Xenopus tropicalis: one gene and its partners. The protein of the gene in region 1 interacts with the protein of each later gene in a pairwise test. Links are inferred from orthologs where the notes say so. Each region holds a gene or a part of one and is shown in the gene's direction. Other genes may lie near its edges. The genes, in order: calcoco1, cep19 and dual specificity protein phosphatase 13.

Region 1 (4,831 bases):
ATCATATATTGCCTGCCCCGCCTCTATGCCTTAGGCATAGAGGTGGGGCAGACAGTTATGTTCACTTTCAATTCAGAACTTATTGGATGTTGCTGTTCCCCTCACATCCCCCCTCCCTCCTCACCATCTAATTGTGTATCCAGTGCATGGATATGGGTATCCGGTCCCCCCATACTGGCACAGAAACAAGATTTTGGCAGGATGCAAAGCTTGCCTTAATAACCGTGTCCACAAAATGGTGCCTGCCTGCTTACTGCAATTGTGAATTCCAAGGCTGAAGATAATAAGATTAAAATAATTTCTACAGTGTAGGTGAAGTTTATTTTGCTTGACAAACACAATAGAAAACAATTTGGAATTATTTCTTAGGGTGACAGGTCCCCTTTTATGAATCAGATAAGTGAGTGTAGGACTGGCCAGATTGGGGATGACTTTGACGCAGCTTGAAGTATATTGCAATATATGGACAAACAATCCCTGTTTTGCTTAAAGGGGTGGGCATTGTTTGGTGAGTGCAGAGCATCTCTTGTTGTTTTTAATTTAGTTTTAATTTAATTTGTGGTCACAGCCTCATTGCACCCCCACCTAATGGTTTTAAATATAGTGGTGAGCACAACTTTCCCTTTTTTGCTATACTAACAAACCTGGGCAATTTGCTCAAGAAGAATGTACATAATGACATAAAATGTAGCAGCTAAAGGTATAAATGGTATCATTGTAGCATTTTGTAGCTGAAGTTATTTTATTATTAGCCAGCCTAATGTTTAAACTTCTGTTTTTAACTTATTCTGCGTTCCATTTAAAATAAATCAGTTGTCAAAACTATACAAAGAACTACAAGCTTGGGTACTTTCATTCCTGTAAGTAATTTATTTTTCTGTAAAAAAAAAAAAAAAAAATCTCTTGCTGTGCGGTATGTTGCAATACAGAAGGTATATACTGTATGTAATGGCTCTTGGAAAACAAGTGCAGAAGTAAAGTGCATGTGTAACACCAACCAGTTAGAATTAAGGTTCCTTATTCTGTAAGCTAAGCCAGAGAAACTGTCTTCTATATTGCAGGCCAAGAGGGATCAGATTGTGAATCTGAAAGCAGAAAAACTAAGCCTGGAAAGCAGTCTGCAGGAGGAGAAAAGTCAGAGGCAAACATTGCAGTGCAAACTTAACCAGGAATCAGATGCCAGACAGGTACTACCCCCAGAACCCCCATACTCTGGGAGGCCATACTTTACTGGAAGCTTATTATTTGAACTAGAACAATGTTTAGTTAGTAATGGACACTGTAGAAAGATGGAGGTAAACTATATCGACAAGCCTGAGTCTGATTCTAGTGTTGGCATCGTGTGACCTTGGATAAAGTAGTTATTAAATGTAGCCATACATTCTTTGAATGCAGTGGTCAGTTGGACCAAGACAAAGCATGACAATGCTTGTGTTTTGCATATATGTTTTATAAGGAGCTCAATAGATGCCCAACACAGACTGCCTTCTTCAATGTACATCATTATACCATGATTTTCCTCTTTTCCCTAAATGCATCAGGCATTTTGAAAATACAGCGTTGTGTATTTTCACATAATAAAGTTGTCTTTTTGTCCTCTGCATCTAAACTTTTGCCATAAGAATCTTGCTCAATTAGAGCTTCTCTGAACCAGAAAGGTGTGATAAAATAACAGCATTTATACAGTGCTGCGGAATATGTTGGCGCTTTATAAATAAATGTTAATAATAATAATGTTAATAATTTATAAATCTGGGAAAAGTTATTTCCAGCAATGAATCTACTGCAGTTCCTTATCTGTCTACCACGGTACAGGTACAGTTATCCGAGAACAGACGAGAGCTGAGTGAATTGAAATCTGCCCTAAAAGTTGCACAGATGGAGAAGGAGCAACTGAGAGAGGAAAGGCAGGTGAGACATTTACCGCCATATCTCCATTACTTGCCTGTCATCAAGCATCTGCTCTGCAGAAGTAAGTGCCACATGTGGGTAATGGAGCAAGGCAGCACAAGCAGAAATGCTGATACCTTTTGTATAGCAACCTATGGGATGGTGGTTTTTAGTTACATTACTTCTGATTTAATATACATTCATCTAATTAAACACTTGTCTAAAACATTTCATTTTTATGCTTACTTAACCACTAACAACTATACAGAACAATAGAAATATACATCTATATTTATATATATATATATATATATATATTGTGTGTATATATATATATATATATATATTGTGTGTATATATATATATATATATATTGTGTGTATATATATATATATATATATAACACAAAGTACTGTTTTATTATTACAGAGAAAATTGAAATAATATCTAAAGTTTCTGAGCTTTCTGCATAATGGTTTTCCAGATAAGGAATCTCATACCTTTATTTGATCTTATTAATGACATGTCTCATGGTTTACCTTCTTTGTTCTTTTTTTGTTTTAGGAAATGCTCCAGTATGTTCATAGGCTGGAAGAACGGCTAGACAAGCTGGCTGATGAGAAATGGAAAGAAGAAGAGATACTTATGGAAGAAACAACAGCAGACCTAAGTATGCACTTAAGTGCCCTCTGTATGATTTAACATTTACCCCTTGTTGTCCTAGATTTCATTTATTGGCTAGTTTTTAAATATGTCTATTATTGTTCTGTGCATGATGCCTTAGAGAAGATGCGGTTGCTTATCTTATGTACTGGTGACATGCAACCTTGGCAGCTGCAGTGTTTGTACAGTGGCTGTTATGGTGTTCTAGAAGTTTCTAGATCAGCAGCAGGTTGAAGCTGTAGGTTAAAAACTGCTACTTGTTCATGTATTATACGTGATAAGTTACTATTTACATTTGTAGGTGTTCCTGTAACTAATTGCTTTTTTGTGTAAATAAAAACAGGTTATTAGTCATGCTATCTACCATCTGATAATAGGAAGGGATAGTAGGGACGGAGAGAAAATGTTTATGCCACTTGGAAAGTAATGTTAGTTTGGCAAGTGAAGCTGCAGAGGGATTATAGTTCAGATTATTATTTTTGTTGATCGCCTTGAATGTGAGTATTTACAGAGAATGGTTTAAAAGTAGAGGCTGTTTAGAACTGTCTGATGTTTTGTGTACCTTCTGTACAGGTCCTCCTACTTCACCAGTGGATCTTTCTGATTCAGATGATGAATCTTCAGGGGATGAGAGAGAATCTCAGAAGCTTGGAGCATGTTCCTTTGATAAAGAGGACATCTCCTTGGACATACCGTTGTTTCCATGTGAGCCTCAGAAGGTGGTGATAAACCAACCTGCACCGATTGCTTGTCAACTGCAGCCTCTCCCTGAGGACAATGTTGATTCAGTGAGTAATACTTGTTTGACTGTGTTCATTCAGCAAAATGAACTTGCATGACTCTACAATGACTATAACTTGCAAACACAACAATTGGTAACAAAGATATATGCTCTTACCTCTGTACACAAATACTAACAGGAGATAAGGTGGGCCTATAACAAATGAAGTACCTTCAGTGAACACCATTAGAGCAACTGCACTTGTGTGGATTAAGGTAAAAATCTACCAAATATTCATACAGTGCTTTCCATTATAATTTCCATAAGCAGATATAGGGGTGAGATACTAGAAAACATATTAGGGTATAGAAAAAAGACAAATAGAAAGCATTGCACTCAACAGCACTCAAAAAGGCTTTATTTAAATCCCAACATTTTGGTCACACTTAGTGACCTTTCTCAAGGGAAACAAACAATTAAGTGATTCCCTGTCCTGAGTGCAGTGCTTTCTATCTTTATTACTATCTTCATTTGCACCCAGGCAGCTGTTTTATTACATTTGAGTGTTCCTTTCAGTACTATATATATAAGTCTTATAGAGAAGAATAGATCTTCTAGAAACCAGGAACAGTTTCTGAAGGATGAGAGAATAAACATCAGTGGCCTAAGACAGTTAATGGTTAAGTTTCAAGCTTAGAGAGAAGTAGCTCCAAACCTATCAAATAACAGTCAGTATTAAATTCTAATTACTAGAATTTAATAAGGACACCACAACCTTTATGCATATAGTATGTTTTGCAAACATATGCTGAAATTAACCTCTGCACACCTGGATACCTCCTGCAGGTGCTGGGTCTACAGACCCCTTTTTTCATGACCCTGATAACAGATAAAGCAATTGAGGTTTTCACTTTATTTAAAAATGTATTTTGCATATATATATTTTTGCCTGAGCGCCTCAGATTTATGTACAAAGTCCATTATTTAATATTTCCTTAAGGGTGTAACAAATGAGATGGAATGGATTTGTTTGCAGATGAGACAAATACATGAAGGAAAGTTAATGTCATGAGATATACTGAGCTGTAACAACTAGTAAATCAGAATGCTGCAGAAGTATGCTAGATAAAATTTAGTGCCTGAAGTGCAAAATAATGCATTTAGGCTGTAAAACGTTGAGAGGAAAAATAACAATAATGGCATTAATTATGTGAACCGCTATAGAGAAAAGAAAGCTGCCTGAAGGTAGGTGGGTAATTCTTCAAAGCAGCGAGGAAAGAATAAGCAAGGAGGGAGCGAGAGATGGAAGCAGTTGCTATTGAATAATATTTAATGTCATTGACAATCTCTTTTGTACAGATTATTAGATGAAAAATCAATATAAATCCATGCATATTCTGTCCAGTCCCCCCCTTGTATTAGCACTTGCACATTTGATGTATTGCAGTTTTATTTCCTTAAAGTCAAGAAAGTTTTTAACAAAATGACATATCTATGAAAGCTAATACAGAAGTCCAATTCTGAGAATGTGTTTGATGTCTGTGAGCAGTTGAGCAC
Region 2 (5,589 bases), on another chromosome or scaffold:
TTAATCCCAACAGTAAAGAAATTAAAAACACTATTTTGAAATATTGGGATGTAGTGCATACTGATGAGCAATTGAAGTCTAAAATAGGCAAGAGACCCAAGTTTAGTTATTCAAGGGCAAGAAACTTGAAGGAAATACTAATCCCCACTGACCCGAGAGACAAGTACATAAAACAAAGTCACACGCACTTCCACACCCCGGAGAATATAGATGTACATGGTGTGTAATTGCCCCATTTTGGGGACAGATTTTACCCATCCGCACACTGGAAAGAAGTATAAGATTAGACAACGTATGACGTGCAAGACTACCATGGTAGTATATATTATAAAGTGTCCATGTGGACTACTTTATTGTGGCAAGACTGTGAGGCAGTTAAAAGAGAGGACAGGTATGCACTGAGTATTAGGGCAGCCCTACTGTAGATCCAGAACGGGCCACAAAAACCCCAAAAAACTGAGGAACACAAGCAACAACCGGTGGCAAAACAATGGGCTGAGGCAAAACATGACGCTTCCTCGTTTCGGTGCATGCCTATAGAACAAATTGAGATACATCCAAGACAGTGGCAAGAGACTTCTGAGAAGGGAGGCTTTTTGGATAAACAAATTGAATTGTGTGAATCCACGAGGTCTAAACGGACAATTAAATCTTGTTGTTTTTTAGTCTAGACAAATATGGTAAAATATAAGCTCTTAATCATACATGATCAACTCGAAAGGATCGGTTTATAGGATATTCTGTATACCTTTTTGATATTCCTAAATAGTGTCACAAAATAAGCTTGAATATGTATATATTAAGAGTTATATAAAAAAAATATATTTCTTTTCCTACACGATTTTTTTATGAACTTTTTTTTTTACAAGGACACTATTGAGCTTACATGATGATGCACAGGTTTTTGCAAACCAAAACAAATATTGCACTTTATAACTATTTTATAGCATTGCACTTTTTAAGTATTCATATCATATGGCAATTATGTGAATACACTATGCACAATACTTTACTGAATGAAACACTAGTTTTATTATGAGATTATTTATAAAATTTATATGAATTTTTTAAACTATTATGCACTGCAAATGGTCAGACACTGGTCCATTTGAATTTGCACATACACAAGAATATTGGCTAATTGTATAATAGTTTGATGATGGGGATTGGGCACTTTTCCACTTGTTGAATTTGAGATTGTATTTAAAAGTATCGTGAACACTACTGTATCCTTGAGAAAGGTCCTATTGTGGACCGAAACGTCAGATTCTTTTAAAACAATATGTCTTAAATAAAATTGAGAAATTTTAAGGATGTGACGGCCACGGAATAATTATCTCTGAATACTTAAAATATGGCTGTGCACCCCGCAAAGCTGCAAGCTTTGGAGTGCAGACACTATAAGGACTGAGATATATATGTTCCCTGTCCCATGTGTGTGGGGTATCCCCTCTCCTCTTGCCACTTTTTCCACATTATTGTGCGTATTTTTATGTAAGTTCCCAACACCACTGCGTTCTATGCTCCCTTGAAAACTTTTGTTTCAAAGCCACAGTCACCCACCCACTCTACAAGTTTAATATATAATATTCTTCTAGGTGCCATTCTTTGTGCTTTCTGATGCTTTTTTCCCCCCCAGACAAAAACAGAGAACTGCAGTTCCACAACCACTGGAAGACAGCAGATGGCCAGGAATTTACACTCGCTTTGTGCATTTATTGGAATCCACAAGGGAACACAGCCACTAGTTATCGGCTGGCTTGAACAATGAAAACATGAAATAAACAAATGCGGTCTGTGTGGGGCTGTTTAGCAGATCTCTGAGCAATGTGTGTTACCAACAGGCCCCTAAGGAAGAGCTCAGGCACAGTGCTGGCTGCCCCCTGCCCCCACCTCGCACAGTGACAATAGAGAGACAGTATTTGAGATCTCCGCTCCCTGTGGCTTTGGGTGTCGGAAGCTTGACTGACTGATCAGGTAAGGGCAAGGCAGCCGCCTAATGAACAACTGAATAGCCAGTGCTCCCACCCCCACTTGCTTTCCCTTCAGGAAAAAAAGACTTGGCTCTGATTACGCGGAGTCCTTGTCTCTCCCCCTTCCCCCCACAGCAACCAATCAGATCTTTGCTTTCGTTTTCCAGCTTGCAAGTTACCGTTCATATCTATTTGCTTATTGGTTGCTACAGGCAACAATACTGCAGACTCTCTGTTTAAGCCAATGCAGTTCCTGGCACAGGAGTGAGCGTGGTAAGTTATAGGGGCACCAGTGGTTCTGGTGAGTGGGTGGGGGGGCTGTGTAAATGGCCCAGGGTGCATGTTGCACTCAAACCTGTAAGCACCCAGCTGCATTTTGTCTGTGACTGTCGTTTGTTAAACTATCACTCTTAGCATCTGTGTAAAGTCACAATACTCATGCATTTGTGCAGTTATGTTATTGGCCAGTCTGAGGATAAGGGGATAAGGGAATACTCTATAGTGATATTATTGTGATGTCTGGGGTTAATGCAAAATGATTCCCCCCAGAGAGCTCCAAAATACAAACATGGATTTTTTTTTTTATTTCTACTTGTGGCAATAACCTTGTACTTCATGGTAACCATACTAAAGTATAAATCCATGCTGTAGCACAACAACACTATTGGCTTTTATTTTTCAATATTTAATGTTGTTAATTAGCATTAAAGAGGTTGTTAACCTTTAGGATAACTTGTTTACATACAGGCAGGGCTGGTGGCACTGGACCTAAATACGCCCCCTACATGGCAGATGTTAAGTCATTTACGCAGTGCCTATGGCGTGAAATCCTCACCCCCCCCCCCCCCCCCAGCTCCGTCACCAGATTTCCCCAGGAACTCTGTGGTGGAGGTTGGGGGCATTTTTTTTCCCTTAAATAAATCAGATTTATAGGCATATACATTTTTTTGGGGGGGGGGGGTACCTTGTGCTTATTTATAACTTATGTCCATAGATCCACATTGGCTGCAAAAATATCCCATTAGGTCTATTTAAAGTTTTTAGCAAACCTAAGGTATGGTGATCCTAATTATGAAAAAAATACTTACCCAGAATACAACAGAAGCCAAACATTACTGATAAAAGATCCTATACCTGTATACTATTCAAAATTCCTAACTGTCTGTGAATGAGTTGAATAAGGGATGCATACAGTATGTATTAGTGATGTGCAGGTCAGGAAAAACTCAACCTGCACCCGTCCCTAACCAGCAAAATGTTGCCATTGCAACTATATGCTACTATATGCTACTTTTGCGCGCCTTAGGTTCCAAGACAGGGAAACTTCAGAAGCAGAGGAAGAGCATACATCCCCAGTCTCTCGTAATGGTGGGAGTGTATTTTAGTGTGATCTTAAGTTACAACCAAACATTGACACCAGTTACCATGCTGTAACTAATAGAGGTATAAACATTATTTACAAGCCCTTGGAGTGTGCTGATGATTTAAAGGACTGTTTAAGTTCTTGATAGGCAGCACCCAGGCATGATACTTTGTTCAAATTAACAAAAATAAAGATTTGGAGACTGATTTATCATTGATCAAATATGGGAATATTTATCGATCCTCAGCAGTTTGAGCTGATTTTCAACTTCCAAAAACTTTCCAGGCTGTGAGGAACACTTGGGTGAAGCTCCTTATATAATCTCTTGCGGCTCAGGACCACACAATAGCTGCCTATCAGGAGATTAGTGAGCAGGGGGCTTAGTCAAAATAATGACCTAAAAATCCACTTCTTTATAAAAAAAAGTTCAACTGATTGAAGCTGATTTGAAAAAATAATATGCAAACTTCTGAAACATATTTTGGCTTAAAATTCCAGTTTGTAATTGAGAGCTGATCATTCACCTTCCTCTTTATAGAAAGCAAGGATAATGGACAACCATGTGATTTTCATTTCTATGCCCCTACCTGGACCTGAACTTTACCAGCACACTCACTTCCGTTGCCCTGTGAGCCAATGGCCTAAAAGATTACTTTTCAGAATTTGCAAAGTTGGTTAAACAAAGCCTACTTAAACATATATAGTTATTTCAGTCACTTTGCTTACTAAGCCAACTCGTTCTTGGCCCTATAAAAATGTTTCCTTACAAATCTTTCATTTATGCCCTCATATAAGGATGATCTAGGCAAACTTGATCAGCATTGGTGAAAGTTGAATAATGTATCAGGGTGGAACACTGACTGCAACCAATCTGATTTTGGATTGAAGTTAAAAGTTACAAAGATGCCACTGGGGTTGGAACTTTTTTTTCAGAATTGGGTTCATTTGCTTTGCCATTATTGGTTTTGCCCTTCAGCAGTGCAGCTGTATTAGACACTTTCTCTGATATGAATATGTTCAAAAAAGAATTATTAAATAAAACACTGTTTACTTGAAAATTTCTGTTAGATCACATAGGCAATAGATGATGTATCTTTGCACATCAAGAAGATGCTTGATCTTTTCAAGAGTAGCATTTATCAACCTGACTCTCCCTCACATGCTGAGTCCGATTAAAATTTTAACATATTAAAACCTATTCCTCTTAATTATGAAGATCCACCATATCCAGAATTAATTATAGTTTTCACTCATAAGAATTTGAAAAAAACATGGGCCATTAATTAAAAAAACTATTTTCATGGACAAATTTCTATAAGCACCCTAAGAATACCAATACTACTATAAATCAGGTAGGTGAAAGCATCATGTTGTGGGGATCCTTCTTAATTGGCGTTTTAGGAGTAAAAGATAAAACAGTACACATCCCTTATCATATAATCTTTAAATGATAAAGCTGCGGAATACATTGGTGTTTCATAAATATGTGTTAACAATACAGGTATAGGACCTGTTATCCAGAATGCTTGGGACCTGGGGTTTTCCAGATAAAGGGTTCTTTTGGTAATTTGAATCTCCATACCCTGAGTATATTAAATTAAAAATCATTTAATCATTACATAAGCCCAACAGGATTGTTTTACTTCCAATAAGGATTAATTATATCTTAGTTCCCATCAAGTACAAGGTACAGTTTTATTATTACAGATTAAAAAAAAAATCATTTTTAAAAATTAGAATTCTTGGCTTATAATGGAGTCCATGGAAGATGGCCTTCCGGTAATGTGGAACTTTCTAGATAATGAGTTTCCGGATAAGGGATCCCATACCTGTAATAATGACTTGTTGTAAAGAAAAATAATTTTACATTGCTTGTTTCAGCCCAACTGTAAAGGGGAGATGAGCTACATGGCAAAGAAGTGTGGGGTTCGCTTTCAACCCCCTGCGATCATTCTGGTGTATGAAGATAAAGAAGCAGGAAAATCACGTCAGCGCATTATGCCTATCCGAAATTTCTCGAAATATTCAGGTCAGTTACCTCTGGTCAGGATGATGTAGCCAAGCACATCTGTATACATATGTTTATATATTACTTTCCTTAAGAACTGACTTGACCACTCCAGTAACAGCATAACATGATAATAACCCTCATTCATAAATTCATCATATCTGTATTGGCAGCCATGGAGTTCCTATGCTGAGTAACTGGAAAATATAATGTGTAGCTCATTAGTTATCAGAAGGTACAGTTGT
Region 3 (5,456 bases), on another chromosome or scaffold:
GGCTTTTATTATACAGCTTTTCATGCCTGGGTGACAGGTCCACTTTAATGTAAAAGGTAAAGGGTTCCCTGGGTAAAAGAGCTTGAAATCTTAAAGAGAGAAGATGCTTGTGCATTACCCCTCTACGTGTCGATGCTACACTGTTCACACCCAGTTCCATATATACATACAATATATATATATGTAAAAAAAATTCTAAGCAACTTTTTTAACATGAATTTATTTAAAATATTTTTAGTGCTTTAAAAGCTATTCTTAAATGTAATTGCTATAGAACCCAGCATTTGTTGTTGCTTGTTGTGGCTTTTTAAACAATGTTGCAAAGGTCTCCTCCAGCAGGACAGGTCTGTCAATCAGCTGGCTTCTAGCTTGTGTTACATTGTTTCAAAAGTCAGAGCCACCAGGGCAGAGAATAGTAAAGGACAGATACACACTGCTTTTAATAACAATAAAATATACAAATAACTTATTAAAAATTACAAATTTGTAATGAATGTTTCAACAACATCAGATGACATTCTGAATGTTTATAAAAATGTAGTAGAAGAGGAACAGAAGATTTTACTGGGCCGTAAAGCAAATCTTTTCAGACTTACACAGCAAGACAAATACAGAGGAAGTGAACCTATTCCCCACAATAAAGGCAAAGATTTTGTCATTTTTAACAATTGCTTTATTCTTGGGTAAGGGAACCTTTAATTACTTCAATGTGCATGGACTGGGACCCTCAGAAGAGGTTCTAAGGCAACATCCAGGTGGGATTAAAGTGGCCAGATGATTCTTTCAGCTGAAGCAACATTTGCATCTAGGAATGTATTGGATGCTGCTCAGGTATTCATCAAATGAGCTAGTTCTCAGAGGTTACACAGAACTTTGCACTGCATCCCAGAAACACTTTCAGTTATGTTACTTCCACTGGTCATCTATGTGTGCACCAAATTATTCATGAACAGGAATAAAGCAGTGGCAAAATGCAGGCATGACAGGCTATTCACAACCCAAGTTCATGCACTGTGGATGCAATGTCTGGGCAAGTGCACAAGGCAAGAATTGTATTGAAGGGCAATTCTGACACTAAGGGGCTGATTTACTAAGACACGATTTCAAATCCGAATTGGAAAAATTCCGATTGGAAACGAACATTTTGTGACTTTTTCGTATTTTTGGGATTTTTTCGGCGTCTTTACGATTTTTTCGTAAAAACGCGAGTTTTTCGGCGTCTTTACGATTTTTGCGTAAAAACGCGAGTTTTTCGGAATATCGTAAAGACGCCGAAAAAATCGCAAAATTACCGATCATTACGAAAAAAACGCAATCGGACGCATTCGGCCCGTTTGTGGGTTAGTAAATGTGCCCCTAAGCCTGCTTAGTTATACATCAAATTTAGAGGTTACTACAGAACTCATCAGAGATGCTATACATCAGACTGATACTATACATTGGAAAGCTCAAGTAGGAAGTTGGGAAACAGCAGTCCTCTAGTTAATATATGGTTACATTTAGTTGAGTCTGCATAAGCATTCATCCAATTCACTGGTTTCCTGAGATTCATCACGATGTGCACCATGCCAGCTACCTCAACACTAATACAAATATTTAAAATGTTCTTCTTATTACGCTTCTTGCAAAAGACTGTCTGAGGTAGGAGGATAGTTCGATGCTATGCCTCCATTCAAATGAAATCCAAATGAAGTGTGAAATTCTGCTGCCAGTGAAAGTTTAAACTGCACTGTCATGCTCTATCAAAAATAGCTTTTTAGGCCTGGACTTTGGAACACTATCCTAAGTAACCCTATACTTTTGGTCTTCTTTCAGGCTTCCTGTATGTGGCACCTAGCACATCATATGATAAAATTAACAATTATAAAAATAGATTCTAAAAAATATATCCTTGAGTTACTGTATACACATTAGGAAGAAGGATCAGCTTTGCATGAGACGGAAAACACAAGACGCTGAGAGTGAGAAAATTAAAGTGAAACAGAAGAAAAGGATTGAAACAGGTGTGTTCTAAATTCAGATAGGCATGGTTAAAGGTACAAATCAAGTTTAATATTACCTGTAAATGTATTTGTATCAATAGTATTCATGGATGAAGAAGGTATGAAAAAATTTAAAGTGAAGTTACCTGTACGTTTACTTTAAAAACTATAAAAAATAAAAAAGTTATCATATTTCACATCAAATAATAGGGTCACTGCCCCATGCAGCCAAAAAAAACTGTTGTACTGTAAGGCTACAATTTTACTGTTACTTTTTATTCCTTATCTTTCTATTCATGCCAAATTATCTTTATCTCTTCAGTCTCTCATGGAAACATCTGCCTAGTTGCTGAGGTAAACTGGACCTTAGCTACAAGATAACATACAATAAACAACAAATTAGCAGTGAAACCTGTGGTGTTTGGTATAGTATGGTTTGCTTTTTGAATTTTTGTGACTAATTAGAACCATTAAATGTTTGCATGTTTCAGTGCTTATTTGTTGTTTATTGTATGTATTCATATACAGACCTTAGCAATGAGATAAAGACACTTTTTTTCTGTATTATTTATTCTTAGTTACAAGACAACTGAAATGGCAAACTAGAGATTTGCTGAACAAAAAACTACATAATTTTTATACTATAAAATATAAAAAATAAATACCTGATTTAATACCTATTTAAATACCTATTTAAAGGTGGACTGAACAGATTCAGTCTGTAAAGTATTTCTTTTAGTTACTTGTTTAGTTCCCTCAGGTCTAAAATGGCTCTAAATTTTTAAAGGTGAACTACTCCTTTAAAAGTTGTTTTATAAAAATGTCTGTATTATACAGGAAGAAAATACATTTCTCCCTGCACCATCCTCACTAATTACAAAATACATATTCTTTACATCTGCATATTACAGCATTTCATTTTAACAACTTTCCTTGGGCATTTCTTGCATTCCCCTGCAGTTCACATTGGAGGATTTTTGTACCACTTGGACTACAACAAAAAGGGTCAACGAAGTGTTGGAGTCACAATAGCATATAAGTAATTTGGACAAAAGGTTGGCTTTTTATGAAGTATTTAACTCATGTTTCCAAATAAAAGATATAGGAACATGAGCTGCTGTCCCTATAAGAAACAGGTGATAACAGGGAAAAAAAACCTACAAAATGACTGGCAGGATTTCAAAATAAAAATATCATACTGCAAATATTGAGTAGAGGGCAGCTGGGTTGTATAATCTGAACATTGGGAAGTTAGTAGATGGGTTGCTGTGTATGTTTGTTAAATATGGAGGAGGTATACTAATAGAGAGCTGGAGATACAGCTAGATGATTTATCCAATTTAATGCATATAAGGCAGGGATCCCCAACCTTTTATACCCATGAGCCACATTTAAATAGAAAAAGTGTTGGAGAACAACACAAGCATGAAAAGGGTTCCTGGGGGTGCCACTAAGAGCTATAATTGGCTACTTAATAACCCATATGTGGACTGGCAGCCTACAGAAGGCTCTGTTTGGCATTATACTTGGTTTTTATGCAACGAAAACTTGCCCCTAGCCAGAAATTCAAAAATAAGCACCTGCTTTGAGGCCCCTGGGAGCAACATCCAAGGGGTTGGCAATATGTTGCTCATGAGCCCCTGGTTGGGGAACACTGATGTAAGGTGTAAGAAAGCTGGGCATTGTTGTCCTGCATTAGCTATAGGATCCATATTTTGTCATATGCCCCCATATCCTTTTTGAGAGAATAGGTGAGTTGTTCTTTGGTGGCTTTATGCAATCTTTTGGCTTTTAATATTGATAGTGGGAATGAGGGTTTCTTCCAGTTGCTGGCTATAATGAATGACATTAAAATATGTTGACCCAGTCTGTGTTCTGCATTGGAGAATTTGTTTTCTTTGGGCCTTTGGGAAGCCACTAATGCAGGGGTCCCCAACCTTTTTTTACCAGTGAGTTGGGGAGCAACACAAGCATAAAAAATATTTCTTGGGGTTCCCAATAAGGGCTATGTTTGCCTATTTGGTATCCCCAATGTGGACTGGCAGCCTACAGGAGGCTCTGTTTGGCAGTACACCTGTTTTTTATGTTTTAAAAACTTTCCTTCAAGACATTTAAGAATAAGCACCTGCTTTGAGGCCACTGGGGGCAATATTCAAAGGGTTGGTGAGCAACGTGTTACATAAGAGCCAGTGGTTAGGGATCACTGCTCTAAAGCATTGGGAATTGCTGCCTAGTTAATAGTATTATAGTAATATTTTAGTTTCCTATTGGCAATGGTTCTAATCTGTTTAACATGAGTATTACAGGTATGGGACCTGTTATCCAGAGTGCTCAGGACCTAGGGTTTTTCCCCAATAAGGGATCTTTCTGTAATTTGGATCACTATACTATGGGGCTGATTTACTTACCCACGAACGGGTCGAAATGAGTCCGATTGCGTTTTTTTCGTAATGATCGGTATTTTGCGATTTTTTCGTATGTTTTGCGATTTTTTCGGATTCTTTACGAATTTTTCGTTACCAATACGATTTTTGCGTAAAAACGCGAGTTTTTCGTATACATTACGAAAGTTGCGTAAAAAGTTGCGCATTTTTCGTAGCGTTAAAACTTAACGCTATGAAAAATGCGCAACTTTTCGCGTAAGTTTTAACGCTACGAAAAATGCGCAACTTTCGTAATGTATACGAAAAACTCGCGTTTTTACGCAAAAATCGTATTGGTAACGAAAAATTCGTAAAGAATCCGAAAAAATCGCAAAACATACGAAAAAGTCGCAAAATGTTCGTTTTCAAGTCGGAACTTTTCCAATTCGGGTCGGATTCGTGGGTTAGTAAATCAGCCCCTATAAGTCTACTAAAAAAACATTTAAACATTAAATAAACCGAATAGTATTGTTTTGCCATGTCAGATACCTTGATCACAGCAAGCCAGCAAAATACTACTGGATAATTAGCCAAACCAATGACAGGCTGTATATAGATCTCTAAGCAGTTGCTGGAGCATGTGCATTAAGCGATTAAAGCTGATAGTGCCCTTGTTTCGTTATGTGTGACAAAATCATCATTTTAATGCAGTTGAGTTGCATTTTATGGCCCAGTTTTCTCTGCAACCATTGATTTTAGATAATGGATGTCAATTTCTAAAAATGGTTGTTTTGTGCCCAGAAATGACTTTTAAGGAAAAGGAAAGGCTAATAAAGAGTTAATCTCAAGCTGCAGGCATACCGTCAGTTTTCTCAATAGTGCCTTTAAGTCTCCACATGTTTCCCCCATTCAGATGATCAGAAGCCTCATAGGAAAAAAAAAAACGCTGAGCTCTGTAAAGAAAGTTCTCGTAATGCCTCACTCCTGCACCAAGACCAAGACCGGTGTACATGCTCAGTTTGTAAAACTATGAGGAAGCTTCCTGCTGATTGGCTCAGATCCACATTCCTAAGGGGGGGAGTGAGTTCTTAGCATTCTTGAGGGAGGAGGG

Evidence for each region.
Region 2: the proteins of calcoco1 (region 1) and cep19 interact in binary tests that used the Homo sapiens proteins (3 or more experiments, as listed by UniProt). The two-hybrid records come from large-scale screens. The link is inferred for Xenopus tropicalis from reciprocal best matches to the Homo sapiens genes CALCOCO1 and CEP19.
Region 3: the proteins of calcoco1 (region 1) and dual specificity protein phosphatase 13 interact in binary tests that used the Homo sapiens proteins (3 or more experiments, as listed by UniProt). The two-hybrid records come from large-scale screens. The link is inferred for Xenopus tropicalis from reciprocal best matches to the Homo sapiens genes CALCOCO1 and DUSP13B.

The regions. Positions count from the first base shown.
Region 1 is NC_030678.2:146,549,478-146,554,308, forward strand, and holds part of calcoco1 (calcium-binding and coiled-coil domain-containing protein 1), read left to right. Parts: intron 1-1,061; coding exon 1,062-1,187; intron 1,188-1,815; coding exon 1,816-1,911; intron 1,912-2,454; coding exon 2,455-2,560; intron 2,561-3,126; coding exon 3,127-3,341; intron 3,342-4,831. UniProt on the Homo sapiens protein: Functions as a coactivator for aryl hydrocarbon and nuclear receptors (NR). Recruited to promoters through its contact with the N-terminal basic helix-loop-helix-Per-Arnt-Sim (PAS) domain of transcription factors or coactivators, such as NCOA2.
Region 2 is NC_030681.2:133,901,875-133,907,463, reverse strand, and holds the start of cep19 (centrosomal protein of 19 kDa), read left to right. Parts: upstream 1-2,204; 5' UTR 2,205-2,246; intron 2,247-3,257; exon of another isoform or gene 3,258-3,416; intron 3,417-5,217; 5' UTR 5,218-5,235; coding exon 5,236-5,365; intron 5,366-5,589. UniProt on the Homo sapiens protein: Required for ciliation. Recruits the RABL2B GTPase to the ciliary base to initiate ciliation.
Region 3 is NC_030683.2:55,066,840-55,072,295, forward strand, and holds the start of dual specificity protein phosphatase 13, read left to right. Parts: upstream 1-1,917; 5' UTR 1,918-2,003; intron 2,004-5,456. UniProt on the Homo sapiens protein: Dual specificity phosphatase that dephosphorylates MAPK8/JNK and MAPK14/p38, but not MAPK1/ERK2, in vitro. Exhibits intrinsic phosphatase activity towards both phospho-seryl/threonyl and -tyrosyl residues, with similar specific activities in vitro.